4 separate regions of the Mus musculus genome follow, and all the other regions are reported to be linked to region 2. The links are microRNA targets in miRTarBase. Many come from high-throughput screens and were not tested one by one. Region 2 holds a microRNA gene; each other region holds the end of a gene's coding sequence.
What was found. Region 2 holds the annotated microRNA mmu-miR-466i-5p (UGUGUGUGUGUGUGUGUGUG, at 2,240-2,259, opposite strand). A microRNA usually pairs through its seed, bases 2 to 8, with sites in the 3' UTR of a target mRNA and lowers its output. Matches are read on the target gene's strand: a 7mer-m8 pairs with bases 2 to 8, a 7mer-A1 pairs with bases 2 to 7 and ends in A, and an 8mer does both.

Region 1 (3,074 bases), not on the chromosome of region 2:
AGTACACTCAGAAGTCTCTGAATGCCCCCAAGTTGGTCACAAATGTGAAACATGACTCCACCTGTTATCTCACCTATATCTGTAGGTCTGCCTGAGGATTCCATAGCATACCCTTAACATTAGCGCCAGCAAGACAGGCAGCTATCATGGTGCATACCCAGCACGGGATAATCTTTATAGTCACAGGAATATGTCTTCCACAAACATGAAAAAAATTTTCAATAAGAAAATATTTATGACTTTCTTAAAACTCCATTACCAAAAATATGTAGAGTAAGAAAAATGAAGACAATCCATAATGTATGCAGGCTTTGGAATGACAGTCACGGATGAAAACTGAGCAATTATGTGTTATGGTATTTAGTGATTTAGGTCCTAACTTACCAACCTCAGATATGTACTCATTTTCTTCTTTAGCTCTGTGACAAAATACAGAAACAAATTGCTGAATACATCTACAATTAGAAAATTAAATTCATTAAAAATTAAGACATTACTTGTTATTATAAAGCTTTCTTAGGAAAAAAAATGTTTAAAAAGTCAAGTCAAAGTATTAAAATTTTACTATTTCTGCCTAGATTTACCATTTCTTAACAAAAGGAATTGTTTGTTTTTACATTTGGAATATAAAAGGAGTATCATTTACCCAAAACCCATATATACTTATTTATTTTAGTTAGCATGGAAGTCTGTATTGTACTGGTTTAAGTGAAAGACAGTTTTAAAAATAAGTAAAATATCTATTTATGAGATGATGGCACCTGTCTGTAACCCTGTACTCAGGGAGGAGAAGCACAAGTTTGAGGCTAGAGTGGGCTACACAGTGCAACCTGTTCCAGAACAAAATACAACCAATGCATTGACCTGTATCGCTGCCTAAATGTATCTTTAGTCTGAAAGTGAAACTGTAAGAAAGTAGATTCTTCACTCTTATTTACTGCAGGTATTACAGGTTGCTTTCTTGAGATGGCACCTTGGCAGGACTGCTGTTTCCTGACACTGAATATCTGAAAACAAACTGCTCTGGACAGTTTCATCATCTAGAAAGAAAGGGGTGTGTGTGTGTGTGTGTGTGTGTGTGTGTGTGTGTGTGTGTGTGTCTGTGTGTGTATGTGTGTGTGTGTATCGGGGTGGGCTAGATGACCTTTTCACAGCTGAAAATAGGTTTTGAAAGAAAAGGCTGACAGGAAGAAGAATCTAAGTAATAAGCACTCTTGATAAATGAGGCAGCTTCAAGTTAAAACTAAAAATGTAAATCAGTAGTTTTTAAAAATATTAAAAATTAGCTAGAATTACATGCATAGATGTTTAATCAGAAATAGAGGAACTTAAATACAGGATTTGTCAACAATAAACATCTTTAGTGCAAATAGTGCAGAAAGTTTTGTCAAATATAGCAGTCATTCTAATCTGTACGGAATCAGTCTCAGGTGATAGACAATCTACATCGCATCTGGACCTCAGCCATGGTTTCAAGTGCCCATCCCTAAGTCATAAATAGAAAACAATGTGCTTAGGCCTGTGTCCCATTTCTCTCTTGGTAGTTCATGGTTTCAGGAAAATCTGAAATGAAAAAAATGTCAAATTTAAGATTTAATTTAAGATTATCAACCCTGATCCTTTATACTGCCTTCCTGTTAAGGTATTGTAACTTGACTGGGAAGGAACTGGGCAAGGAAAAGATTACAGTGTGCTCCTTTCAATAATCTATTTCTACTGCTTGGGCTGGGATCTGGGATAAACACAAGTAGTATAAAAATTATCTCAGTTTGGAAATTAAGACGTAACACAATTCAGAGGCGATACTAATGGAATAAAAACTCGAGATAAGAAATGCCTATTACTCCATCCCTTTTCAAAAGAATCCCCCATGCTCCTCCTTAAAGTCCTCTCCTTCAGCCAGATGGCTGCATGCAGCTGATTCATCCTCTCCTAGGGATTAGTACTGCAACTCAAGACTCTCAGTGCACAGCAGCTGCTGTGGTTGATGGGTGACTAAAAAATGGAACTGGTGATGTAGGTCAGTGCTTGCTGAATACATGGAAAGCAATGGGTCTGATCAGACTTCATGCAGAAAGCGGAAACAGCCAGCCTGAGAAGGAAGATGCGTTTTGGTTACTGAGAGGCTTCGTCTGTCTCAGTAACTGGGCTGCACTTTCCTTAACTTTGTGTTCTCCTTCAGTTAACAAGCTCTTATTTCAGTTTGTGTGGTTTGAAAGAAAGCTACCCCAATAGACCTGGGTAGCTGACCACCTGGTGCTGTCTTGGGAGGTGGTGCAGCCTTGCTTGTAAGTCACTATGGGTGGACTTTGAGAGGTCACAACACACTGTATTAATAGTCTGCTCTCTGCTTCATGTTGTGGTTAAAGATGTGAACCCTCAGCTTCCCGCTCCAGCTGCCTGATGCTAAGCCTGCCTCACCATTATGGATTCTCCCTCACCAACAATAAACACAAATAACTTCTTCCATCTGTAAGATACCTTCGTCATGGTATTTTATCACAGCAATTGAATACGGGGCAAGGTTTTCTTCTGTAAACAAGACATTCCTAATGGTAGAAGCATGACTGTAAGCTACCCTTAGGAGAAACGCACACTCTCACTAAGGATACAGAAGTACTGAGAAATTATCTACAGAGTTCTTACTGGTTATAGATGTACTTATATGGTCATGTTTATAATTGTCAACATTTTAGAACAATCAACAACTATAATGGTAGAATCATGTTAAAGCAGTGAGCAGGCACTGTTAAGAACTATTAAGTTAAAGCACACTTGTATAACAGCCTTGAGACACTAGCTAGAAATGCATACCTAGAGAGGAGCATGAAATTGGCTGTGCATCGCTATCACCTGGTGAAGCTTCTCTTCTTTAGCTCTTCTACAGTGGCAAATCTAGAAGATAAATTATTTAAAATACCAGTCACTTTTCCAACTGCTTCCTACATTAAGACAGAATTCCAAGTAAGAATATTTTAATTTGTTAACATTCCTTTAGCTTTTTAACATTTAAGGTAGCTAGTAATTCTTCAGAATTTACAAGGAATCCAGAAGAACATTAAGGTTTGTGTGAA
Region 2 (3,091 bases):
CTAATGGCTTGTTTTTGGATCCTCTTGCCCTTACTGATTACATGATAGCAGCTGTTCCTGCCTTGGGGCTTCGTATTGGCTGTGTCCTCTACTGTATTTTCTTCTGTGGGTCACTGTCGGTGCTAAATGCAGTGAAATGAACTAGCGAGACAGTGGGCCCTGGCAAGGGCAGAAGGAAACAGTGACATGGGGTGACCTGAGCGGTGGCATTGTGCAGACAACTGGAGGAGGAGAGAGGACAGCTCACACATATCAGTCTGGGTGGAGGGAAAGAGAGCTAGAGGCCAGCTGGATCTGGTGTGCTCTCTCTCTCTCTCTCTCTGTTTCTTCCCGAATCAGTGGCTTTAGATACACCATCGCATTATCTAAAACCTCCCTCCTTCCCTCCTCATCCTGCCTGCTCCCCCATCTTCTTAATTGGGGTCAATCTTTCCAAGTCTCTCAGCTCAAGGGAGGAAGTAGTATCTGCTGTAGCAGATGGTCCTACATTCTGGTGACATCCTAGCTTTCCAGGTATCCCTTGGAAACAATCTTGAGTTTGTAGCCTCCCAACAATATGAAAAGTTAGACTTAGAAAAAAAAATGTTTAAAAGGAAGTAAATAAATATTTTTTCCTCTGCTATTCATATAAATATTCTGAGATACAATAATAATAATAATAATAATAATAATAGCCTGAAAATACCCTGGGTGTGACCAGTTAGTTGAGAGCTGGCAGTGTGTGTGTGCCCTGTCAGCTGCAGGGTGATAGCTAGGATTTAATTGCCCTTCCTAAGATGCAGCTCAGTAGAGTGAGGTGAACTAGAGTCTTTCTATATACATGTCTCTGAGGACAAGACTCACAACAGCTTCCACGTTACCCAGGACCCAGTTGGACCGTGGACACTCAGGCTTCACCACAGACCTCCTGGCCTTATTTCCTGGGGGTTGGTGTGCACAATCAGCTCCAGGAGAGCCAATCAAGTCCTTGTGGATGTCATGTCTCAGTGTCCTCTTTATTAGGATGTCACAGGTAAATTCCTGTGGCTGGTGCCAAGACAAACTGCCTAGAACATTTTATTTGCTGGCTTGCTCTGATTAAAGTGGAGAACGCACTGCACTTTCTCGTTTGTGGTCACCTGCTAAATCTTTACCTTATTTCTGGTGTTGCCTAACACAGCGTCTCATACACAGCAGAAGAGAAAGAGTCACTAAATGAATGAATGAATCTATTTCCTATTTCCTTCGAAATTTGAGCCTCTGCACAGGCTGAGATGTACTGGCGTGCTTTGTGTTGTTGTTGGAGGTGGAATCTGGGGTCTTGTATATGCTGGGCAAGTGTTTCATCATTGAGCTATAACCCAAGAGCTAAAAAACTTGTTCCGGTGGCATTAGGGTAGCAGACAATTTTTGGGGAAATGAAGTTTGTTTCCAGAAGGCCTAGGGCTGTGGAATCCTGGGTATAATGGATGCTTAGAAGAGAAGAGATGACTTCAGGTCTCAAGGACTGAGGACATGTCCCTAGTTTTCAGTGACTGGCTTTTATACCACCAGAAGCTCTGCACACTCTGTACTGACCCTTTTCCTGTGAACTTCCCTGTGTAACATTTGTTCCTCTGTTTTATCAGCTGAATGATGGAACCTCACAGCCAAGAACTTTGAGAGGTCAAAAGGACCTGGCTGCTTCCTGCAGGTGGCAATGGCTTCCTTTCTTCTTCAGCCTTTAGACAGTTTGGATTTCAAATTATTCCATCACTTTCTAGAACATTCCAGATCCAAGCTCTCCTCTCCTATCACAGATGTATTCTGCAGCGCTGGGCCTCTCTACTGCATGTGGTTGTGGGAGAAGAAAGCCGCTGAGGTAGTTGAAGCCATGTTTAGCTTTTAGTTCTGTGAGGCAAGAGGGCCAGGACAGAGCATTTCCCCTTCCCTGTCAAGATATCAGCACCTGCTTGGGAAGCCAGAAGATGGAGGAGTAAAAAAGCTCCTGTTCCTCGGGGGCTTGCAGGTAAGGTCACGGCCAGTGCAGAGGTGCCAGTCTTCTCCTGCCCTATAAGGCTGCTGCTACCTGTGAAAGATCAGTGCAGTTGCTTACCTGTCACCTAGGCCAGATGGAGACACAGCCATCGGAGTCACAATTAGTAACACCTACTCACCATACACACACATGCACATGCACACATATACACATATATTCACATACTCACACACATGCACATGTACAAACATATACACACACATACTCACATGTACATGTACACACACACACACACACACACATATATATGTATATACACACCTGCACACACACACACACACACACACACACACACACACATATCAATAGAGAACATGCATATACACGTACATGCACTCATGCACATGCACACCCATGTGTATATGCACACACATACATACACATATACACATATGCATGCACACACACACATACACTTATTTCTATAGGAGGGTGTACATGAATGTATATCACATGCACACATGTATATGTGTGTGAATATAGGTGAATATACAGCCCCTCCCATCCTGGAAACTAGCACATTCATATAAGACACCATAATACAGCTTTTCAATATTTTCTTTTCTGTAAGAAAGTAGGGAATTGACTGAAGTCCAGGGCTGTTGCAGTTCAGAAGTTCGGCTCTTTATCTAAATGTGGCCCTGAGAGTTAGGCAGCAGATGGAGGTAACATGGCAGCTTCCAGGGCTTGGAGTCAATGACTTCAATGAACAAAAACAGACACTTTCTTTTACTCGCTCCATTGAGAACATGACCACACATTCCTGGCTCACAGGAGACCCCTAAATCTGGAGGCCACTCCACGATGTCTCCTCATCCTTAAAGTAGAAAGTGGGACTGCGGAATCTGTCATGTGCTCCATCTTGGGCCACTGATGGGGTCTGTGTGAGATGAGATCTGATTTGCCTCGGTTATTCTGGGATGCACATTGGCTACTCTGCCCACTTCATCCATTCTGAGCTACTACCAATCTCCATCCTTACAGGCAGCAGCCAATTTGAAACGTACAGTTGTATACTCCCACTTCAGGTTACTTTTGCCAACACATATTACCTTATGTTTATTTGAGTTAAGT
Region 3 (3,091 bases), not on the chromosome of region 2:
CACTCCAGGGACTCTTTGCAAGAAGCAGGCGCTGAGTAGAGCACCAGAGGGGGCTTGGGAGTGACTGTGTGTGTGCCTGTCGGGGGCAGCCTAGAGTCCTCTGTGCCTGACACCCTCTGACAGTTCCAGAGTGCAAACATGTAGGTGTGAGGGTGTGTGTGTGTGTGTGTGTATCTGTATCTCTCTCTGTGTTTGTGTGTGTGTGTGTGTGTGTGTGTGTGTGTAGCCACAGCTGCTAGCAGAGGTTCTAATTAGAGAAACAAGAACATTCAGTGTAAAGTTTAATTTTAGAGATTAATTAATTTTCTGGTTTTCATTTTCCCTGGCAATCAATAAAGCTACCAAGAAAAGAAACCAAAGAATTGCTTTCTCTCTAAGTCTGTGCGTGTGTGTGTGGGAGGTGAGGCTGTCTGTGCAAGGAGACCTAGGCAGAAATGGTCAGGCAAAAATAATAACGGGGCTTCCCCACCCCCTCCTCTCCCAAGGCCAAGCTCAGTTTCTGGACCCAGAATGAAAGAGGATGAGCCAAGTCCTTCCCTCCTTGGAGCTGTAAGATGGCCAAGCTGCCCCTAAATGAGAACAAGACATTCAGGTACCAGTTGGCCAAGAACTGAGGCCTGAGGCCACAGCTCACTCAGTACCTGTGCTCCAATAGTCAACACCACACACACACACACACACACACACACACACACACACACACACACACACCTCAAATTCAGGGTCCTGGAGGGTTCTGTGCTAAGTGGCCAGAGGACACTGTTGCCCAGGAAACCCAGTGGTGTGCTTGCTCCCTTCTGCCCAAACCTATCCTTCTCTGACACCCCTCCCTCCTCACCCAAGCATCTCTGTATAACCAGAAAGCTCAGCCCCCATTTGAGCCCTAGACCATGGCATCCCCACAACAGGGCTTCCCACATTCCCCAGGGAAAAAGGGGACAGGGAGCCAGAGGAGATTTTTGCATAGGTAGGGGCCACTCCCATTGGTTGGCATAGGCCTGGCACAGCCAGGAGGAAGAGGGAAAGCCAAAAAGATGGAGTTCTGCTGGTGAAGGCAAAGCAAGAAGCAGAGGGAGCAAGATTGGATGGATGTGAGCCCAATCCCTGGGTACTAAGTCTGCTGGGAAAACGTCAGCCAGGGCAGCTGGGAGAGCAAGGGGCCAAACACAGACATGCACACTGGGGTGGAGGGGTAAGAGGGTATAGGGGAGAGCAAAGTTGGTGTCAGAGCTTTGAAGGGACAGGACAAAGGGCTGGTGCCCCGGGGCTGTGTCATGGAGCCCCTCTGAAGACCTAGAGCTTCAACTCGCTGGACAGGAAGAAGTGGAGGGTCTGGTGAGAACGGATCTCCTGCCACTGGAAATGGGTATCTCTCTAGCTAGGGTTTGGGATGGACTCGGCTCTATGGAGGCATGTGTGAGGGACATCCTTCTTAAGTGTTTGCTCCACTGCCTGCTGAGGAAAAGCTACAGCACGCCAGCCCATCGCCATCCCTCCAGGGCTAGTCTCAGTCTACCAGCCATTACTAACTCTACTCCTGAGGTCTCTCGACATCGGGGTGTGTCTCAGGCTCTGTCCACTTGCTCACTCACTCACCCCTGGCGGGCTTTAATGAGGACCTCCAGGATGGCCTCCCTGACGGAAGCACCTACCCAGAACCTAGGGGAGGAAGCAGCTGATGGACCGGAGACTGAGTCTTTTCCAGAAAAGGCCTGCGGAGCCCTCCCAGCCTCCCTTCCCTTGCCCTGCACCCTGACAACAGCTCTTCAGAGCCGGTAAGCCCCGAGGTGAGTGACGTCATTGGTGTGAGGAAAAGTCCCTCCAGGACCGGACCTCTGGGGCTCAAGTGAAACAAACAACAGTGCTGAGTGTGGCTTTCCCAGCGGCGGCGGGAGGCAGCGCCGAGAGGCCAGAACTCTTTCAAGGTATGGAGATGAATACTGGGCTGCCATCTGGCCCCACCCTCAGACCCGGGAACACAGTTGCTGGCTGGAAGCCAACTCTGCTGCTCTTCACCAAACCACCGCCCATCTCCACGGGGAGCCAGGGCAAAAAAAAAAAAAAAAAAAAGCCCCAAGTGCTTTGCCTTTCTTGGTACCCACCATGATGGCTCCCTTGGTTGGGAGGCCAGAAACGGGTCCCACAACATACTAACAGTCAAGACTCGATGAAAGCCTGGAAGGGAAATCTCGAGTGTGCATGGGAAAGGGGGTGTACCCCCCTGCTGGAACTCGGTGAGGACTGGGAGAGAAACACCTCTGCCCAGGTGGATGGGATTCTTAAGAGAGCTGCCAATCTCCCAGCCTCTGTCTGTGTACAGGGAAGCAGTCTCAGATCACTGAGGTCTTGTCTGAGAGTGCCCCTCACCTCCTGCCTTCCCTCATACCCTGCCTGGCCTTAGCCACCATCCTGCCTTCCCCTGCTACACACAGGGAGCACAACACAAGGAGAGGCAGGAAGGAGAACGGCGGCGCAGGCTCCCTCCAAAGGCAGGAGGTCACAGTGAGGTCTCCACGCAGGAGCCATGGCGGTGCAGTGACCGGTGGCTGTGGCCCAGACACCCCTCCTGCCGATGGACGATGAGGACAGGGAAGCAGAGGGCGTCCTGGTAGGGCGGCGGTGGCCCGGCCTCCTCCTCGTCCTCGTCCTCCTCGTTGTCCCGCATGCTGGCCTGGCTCGACAGACGCGTCTGCTCCGTGGGGCAGCTCGCCTCGTTGACACTCCCGCTCCGGCTGCGCCACAGGCAGCTGCGCCGGGAGCCGTAGAGGCGGCTGAGCGAGAAGCGGCTGCCCCCACACCCCGCGCTCGCTCCAGGGCCCTGGGCAGCCCGCGGGCTGGCGCAGATACTCAGCGCGCTGCGCGAGAAGATGGACGAGCTGCTGACCGCTCGCTGACAGTGCTCGCAGCTCCGCCAGTGCGGGGTCACGCCCGCCGCGCCCGGGCCACCAACCCCTCCGTAGCGACACCTGGGCACGTAGCTACCCCCTGGCCCGCCGCAGCGTGAGCCCAGCTCGACCAGGTCCATAAGCAACACCTCCGAGTAGCTGGGTACCAGCTGCTGATTAGAACGGATGTGCCACTCGAGTTCCGT
Region 4 (3,091 bases), not on the chromosome of region 2:
ACACAGTCATTTAATAACCCGTCTCCAGTGTCTATTATCACCTTTTAAGTAGAAGATTCTATGACAACATACTGTAAGAATTATTAGTATGAAATTAAGTCAAAAATAAAATTTGTCTCCAGGCATCGCCGAATGGAGGCTGTTCGACTTCGGAAAGAGAACCAGATCTACAGTGCTGATGAGAAGAGAGCCCTTGCATCCTTTAACCAAGAAGAAAGACGAAAGAGGGAGAACAAGATTCTGGCCAGCTTTCGTGAGATGGTATACAGAAAGACCAAAGGGAAGGATGACAAGTGAGGACTTCTTGGCTTTACAAGTGAATATTTTTAACATCGAAAAGGAAATTGTGGGTTCTAACAACAAAAGCTTATTGTTTTGTTTTTGTTTTGAGTTACTGTTTGATGTATGGTTTCAATTAGCCCAGGTTGACCTCAGGCTTTGTAGCCAAGGATGACTCTGAACTCTTGGTCTCCTGCCTCCACCTTCCAAGTGCTGAAATTCGAGGTGTGTGCCACCAGGCCCAGCCAAAAAGGCTACTGTGCTATGAAGTGGCTTTTCAGGGCTTCTGTGCCTTCTTTTTAATTCTTCAGTCCTTCAATAAAAGATGCTTGTTGATAAAATTAGTTAAGTTATTTGAGGCTTTTAAAGATTGACCCCAGCCTTCTGGTTTAAAAGTCCAAAGTCCTGCTATGTTCGGAAGGTGGCATAGAGAGAAAGTGGCAGATGAACGAGAAGGTTAAGTCTCACATCATGATCTGGTGTGACTATGATTATTAGCCCCATACAGTGTCTGCCACTATCCCAGCAGAACTTGAGAATTTCATATCTTGTTTTGAATGTGTTACAGATGGGCTTGACAGAAACTATTTAGGAGGCTATTTCTGTTAACAAACTGACGGTGTTGCTGTGCACAGCCACTCTGGAATTGGAAAACTGGCTTGCCTCTATAGTCGGCCCTAGAAATGTATACTGGGCTAACTCTACCTCTGCTCTAAAACCAAGCAAACCAAATGGCTGACTCACACATGTGTGGGGCAGAAAATGTGAGCATTAGCTGTTTCCCGTCCTATTACATTACTTACCATTGTTCTTTCAGTGGCTAGGATGTAGCTCAGAGTTAGAGCACGTGCTTATGAGGCCCCGAGCTACATCCCCAGCAGTGCAAAAAAGTTCCAAATGCAGTTTTGGGAGTCTATTGTGCCAATATAAGAATACTATTTCTATTTAAGCTGGTATTTAATAGAGGATAATATCTTAAAAATGAGTATTAAGAGTGCTAATAAGGGAAAATATAATAAGTCAGTATTTTAATTAAGCTGTTTCATGATGATGATGAAAGTAAAATATTAAACATTTTCAATTATGTCCTTTATATTACCAGATTTCTTGTTTGAGACAGAGTCTCACTATGTAGCCCTGGATGGCCTAGAACTCCCAGAGTTCCCCCTGCCTCAGCCTGCCAGGTGCTAGGATTAGAGGTGTGTGCCACTGCACCTCACTATAGGATTTTATTTTAAATATTGTTAAGCTCTTCAGCTTTTTATATCTGTCATGACTTTAATCCTTAACTTTCTAGAAACCCTCCTTACTTCATTACTGTTTGAAAGTTTAATATATGTTCTGAGAAAATGTGTTTCTAACCCACAACTGCTGAACTAAGCAGCAGTTAGCATGTAGTAAAATCTGTGATCTTTGAACTTGAAATTATTTCATGGTATTTATACGTCTCAGTCTGATAAGTATATAGTTTCCTAAAGTCTAATGGAAACTAGGTTCCAAAGTTGAAAGTCTTCTTAATCCATACACTTCCTCATGTAATACAATGTAAAGTTTATAATCGCTACTTTAAAAGTTAAAACGAAGGGCCATTATTTTTTGTTAAATGGCTCCTAGCAACTGGGTGAATATGTTTTTCTTTTTTTTAATAGGAAATGTAGTTTCAATGCAACAATTTTGTAGTGTATAAGTATTACAGATTTTCTTTTGATTATTCTCCACAGAGTATATACAGTCAATGAAAAAATAGGAATTTATTTAAAAATCTATCATTATTTAGTAGCAGTCCTTTAAAAAATGGAGGGCTAAAAGTATTTTATTTTTAGCTTGTTTGAATTATCCCTTCAAACTGTGTTCTTTCACCTGAGCTCTAAGTCAGCCATTGTTTGCAAAAACATATCTTTCCTTGTCTACAGAAGAAGAAACACACACTCGTGTACACACACACACACACACACACACACACACACACACTTATAATTGAACAAAACATTAAGCCAGGAATTTCCTCTTTGTTACATTCCTAGTGAACAAGGTAGTGGTTATGCTTCTATCTGTTTTCTTTATAGCTCTTTAGGCCTGAGTAAAGGCTATGTAGAAGTATTGTAATTTAAATATTTTGTTTTCTAAAGAGACTTACTCAGTTTCTCACCTCTTCGCCTGTTGTTTATAGGATTTCTCTCTTTTTTTATTTGTTGTACAAAGATAATAGGAAAAATAGAGAAATTGCTCAGTCCTACCACATGAATTGTTACAAGTGTTCTGTGTCCCTTGTACGTCTTTGTCATTTGAAGTGTACTGTAAAGTTGTCTTTGGTATTTTAAAATTGTGTGAGCAGGCATAGGAGTCCCATTGGGAAGTTAGGAATACATGATGATCCAGTGTGAAGACAGAAATAAGGAAGGGTGGTAACCCACCCCTGCTTCATTGCAATCATGAGCATGATGGGATGTTCAGAGTTTAGCAGTGAGGTCATCTGACAGTAGAAGAGATCTATGGGTAGTGGAGCCCTTCAGACTGTTAGTGTGAGATATAGAACGGTTGCCAGTTTGTTATCCAGATACCCATAAAAATGTCTATCAAGCCTAGAGCTAGGCAGAGAGAAGGACCAGACAGCTAAGGGCCAGTGGCTGAACTTTAGTAATGTTCACAACTCGACTCTGTGCTTGCCACACTCCAAAATCTTCTCCAGAACAGAAAACAACTTATTGCAGAATGGATAATGAATAAAAACAAAAACACAGTTGGGTTGTGTGCCATGAGTTTATTACTCAATAAATATTATGTGCTTTGACATGTTTCATATTTTTAATGT

Region 1: the mRNA of Vps37a is a reported target of mmu-miR-466i-5p. Seed matches in the 3' UTR shown: 7mer-A1 at 1,118-1,124, 8mer at 1,116-1,123, 8mer at 1,114-1,121, 8mer at 1,112-1,119, 7mer-A1 at 1,104-1,110, 8mer at 1,102-1,109 and 21 more.
Region 3: miRTarBase lists Tmem151b as a target of mmu-miR-466i-5p. Seed matches in the 3' UTR shown: 8mer at 389-396, 8mer at 387-394, 7mer-m8 at 386-392, 7mer-A1 at 218-224, 8mer at 216-223, 8mer at 214-221 and 20 more.
Region 4: the mRNA of Nkap is a reported target of mmu-miR-466i-5p. Seed matches in the 3' UTR shown: 7mer-A1 at 2,201-2,207, 7mer-m8 at 2,202-2,208, 7mer-A1 at 2,215-2,221, 8mer at 2,216-2,223, 8mer at 2,218-2,225, 8mer at 2,220-2,227 and 12 more.

What each region holds. Positions count from the first base shown.
Region 1 is chr8:40,544,765-40,547,838 of GRCm38, reverse strand. It overlaps Vps37a (vacuolar protein sorting 37A), which reads right to left. Exons shown (of 12, transcript NM_033560.3): 11 at 2,815-2,895; 12 at 1-1,563. The coding sequence ends at 2,815. Among named protein-coding and RNA genes, the nearest start is that of Vps37a, 35 kb to the right of the region's middle.
Region 2 is chr3:85,466,550-85,469,640 of GRCm38, reverse strand. Mir466k (microRNA 466k) reads right to left here and starts at 2,264; the gene lies at 2,143-2,264. The region is part of intron 1 of Gm31419 (a long non-coding RNA gene); the gene reads left to right.
Region 3 is chr17:45,542,330-45,545,420 of GRCm38, forward strand. It overlaps Tmem151b (transmembrane protein 151B), which reads right to left. Exons shown (of 3, transcript NM_001013749.2): 3 at 1-3,091. The coding sequence ends at 2,498. It overlaps Tcte1 (t-complex-associated testis expressed 1), which reads left to right. Exons shown (of 5, transcript NM_013688.2): 5 at 1-350. Among named protein-coding and RNA genes, the nearest start is that of Tmem151b, 5.8 kb to the right of the region's middle.
Region 4 is chrX:37,147,669-37,150,759 of GRCm38, forward strand. Nkap (NFKB activating protein) reads left to right here. Exons shown (of 9, transcript NM_025937.4): 9 at 123-3,078. The coding sequence ends at 297. Akap14 (A kinase (PRKA) anchor protein 14) reads right to left here. Exons shown (of 6, transcript NM_001033785.2): 6 at 3,030-3,091. Among named protein-coding and RNA genes, the nearest start is that of Gm39503, 5.0 kb to the right of the region's middle.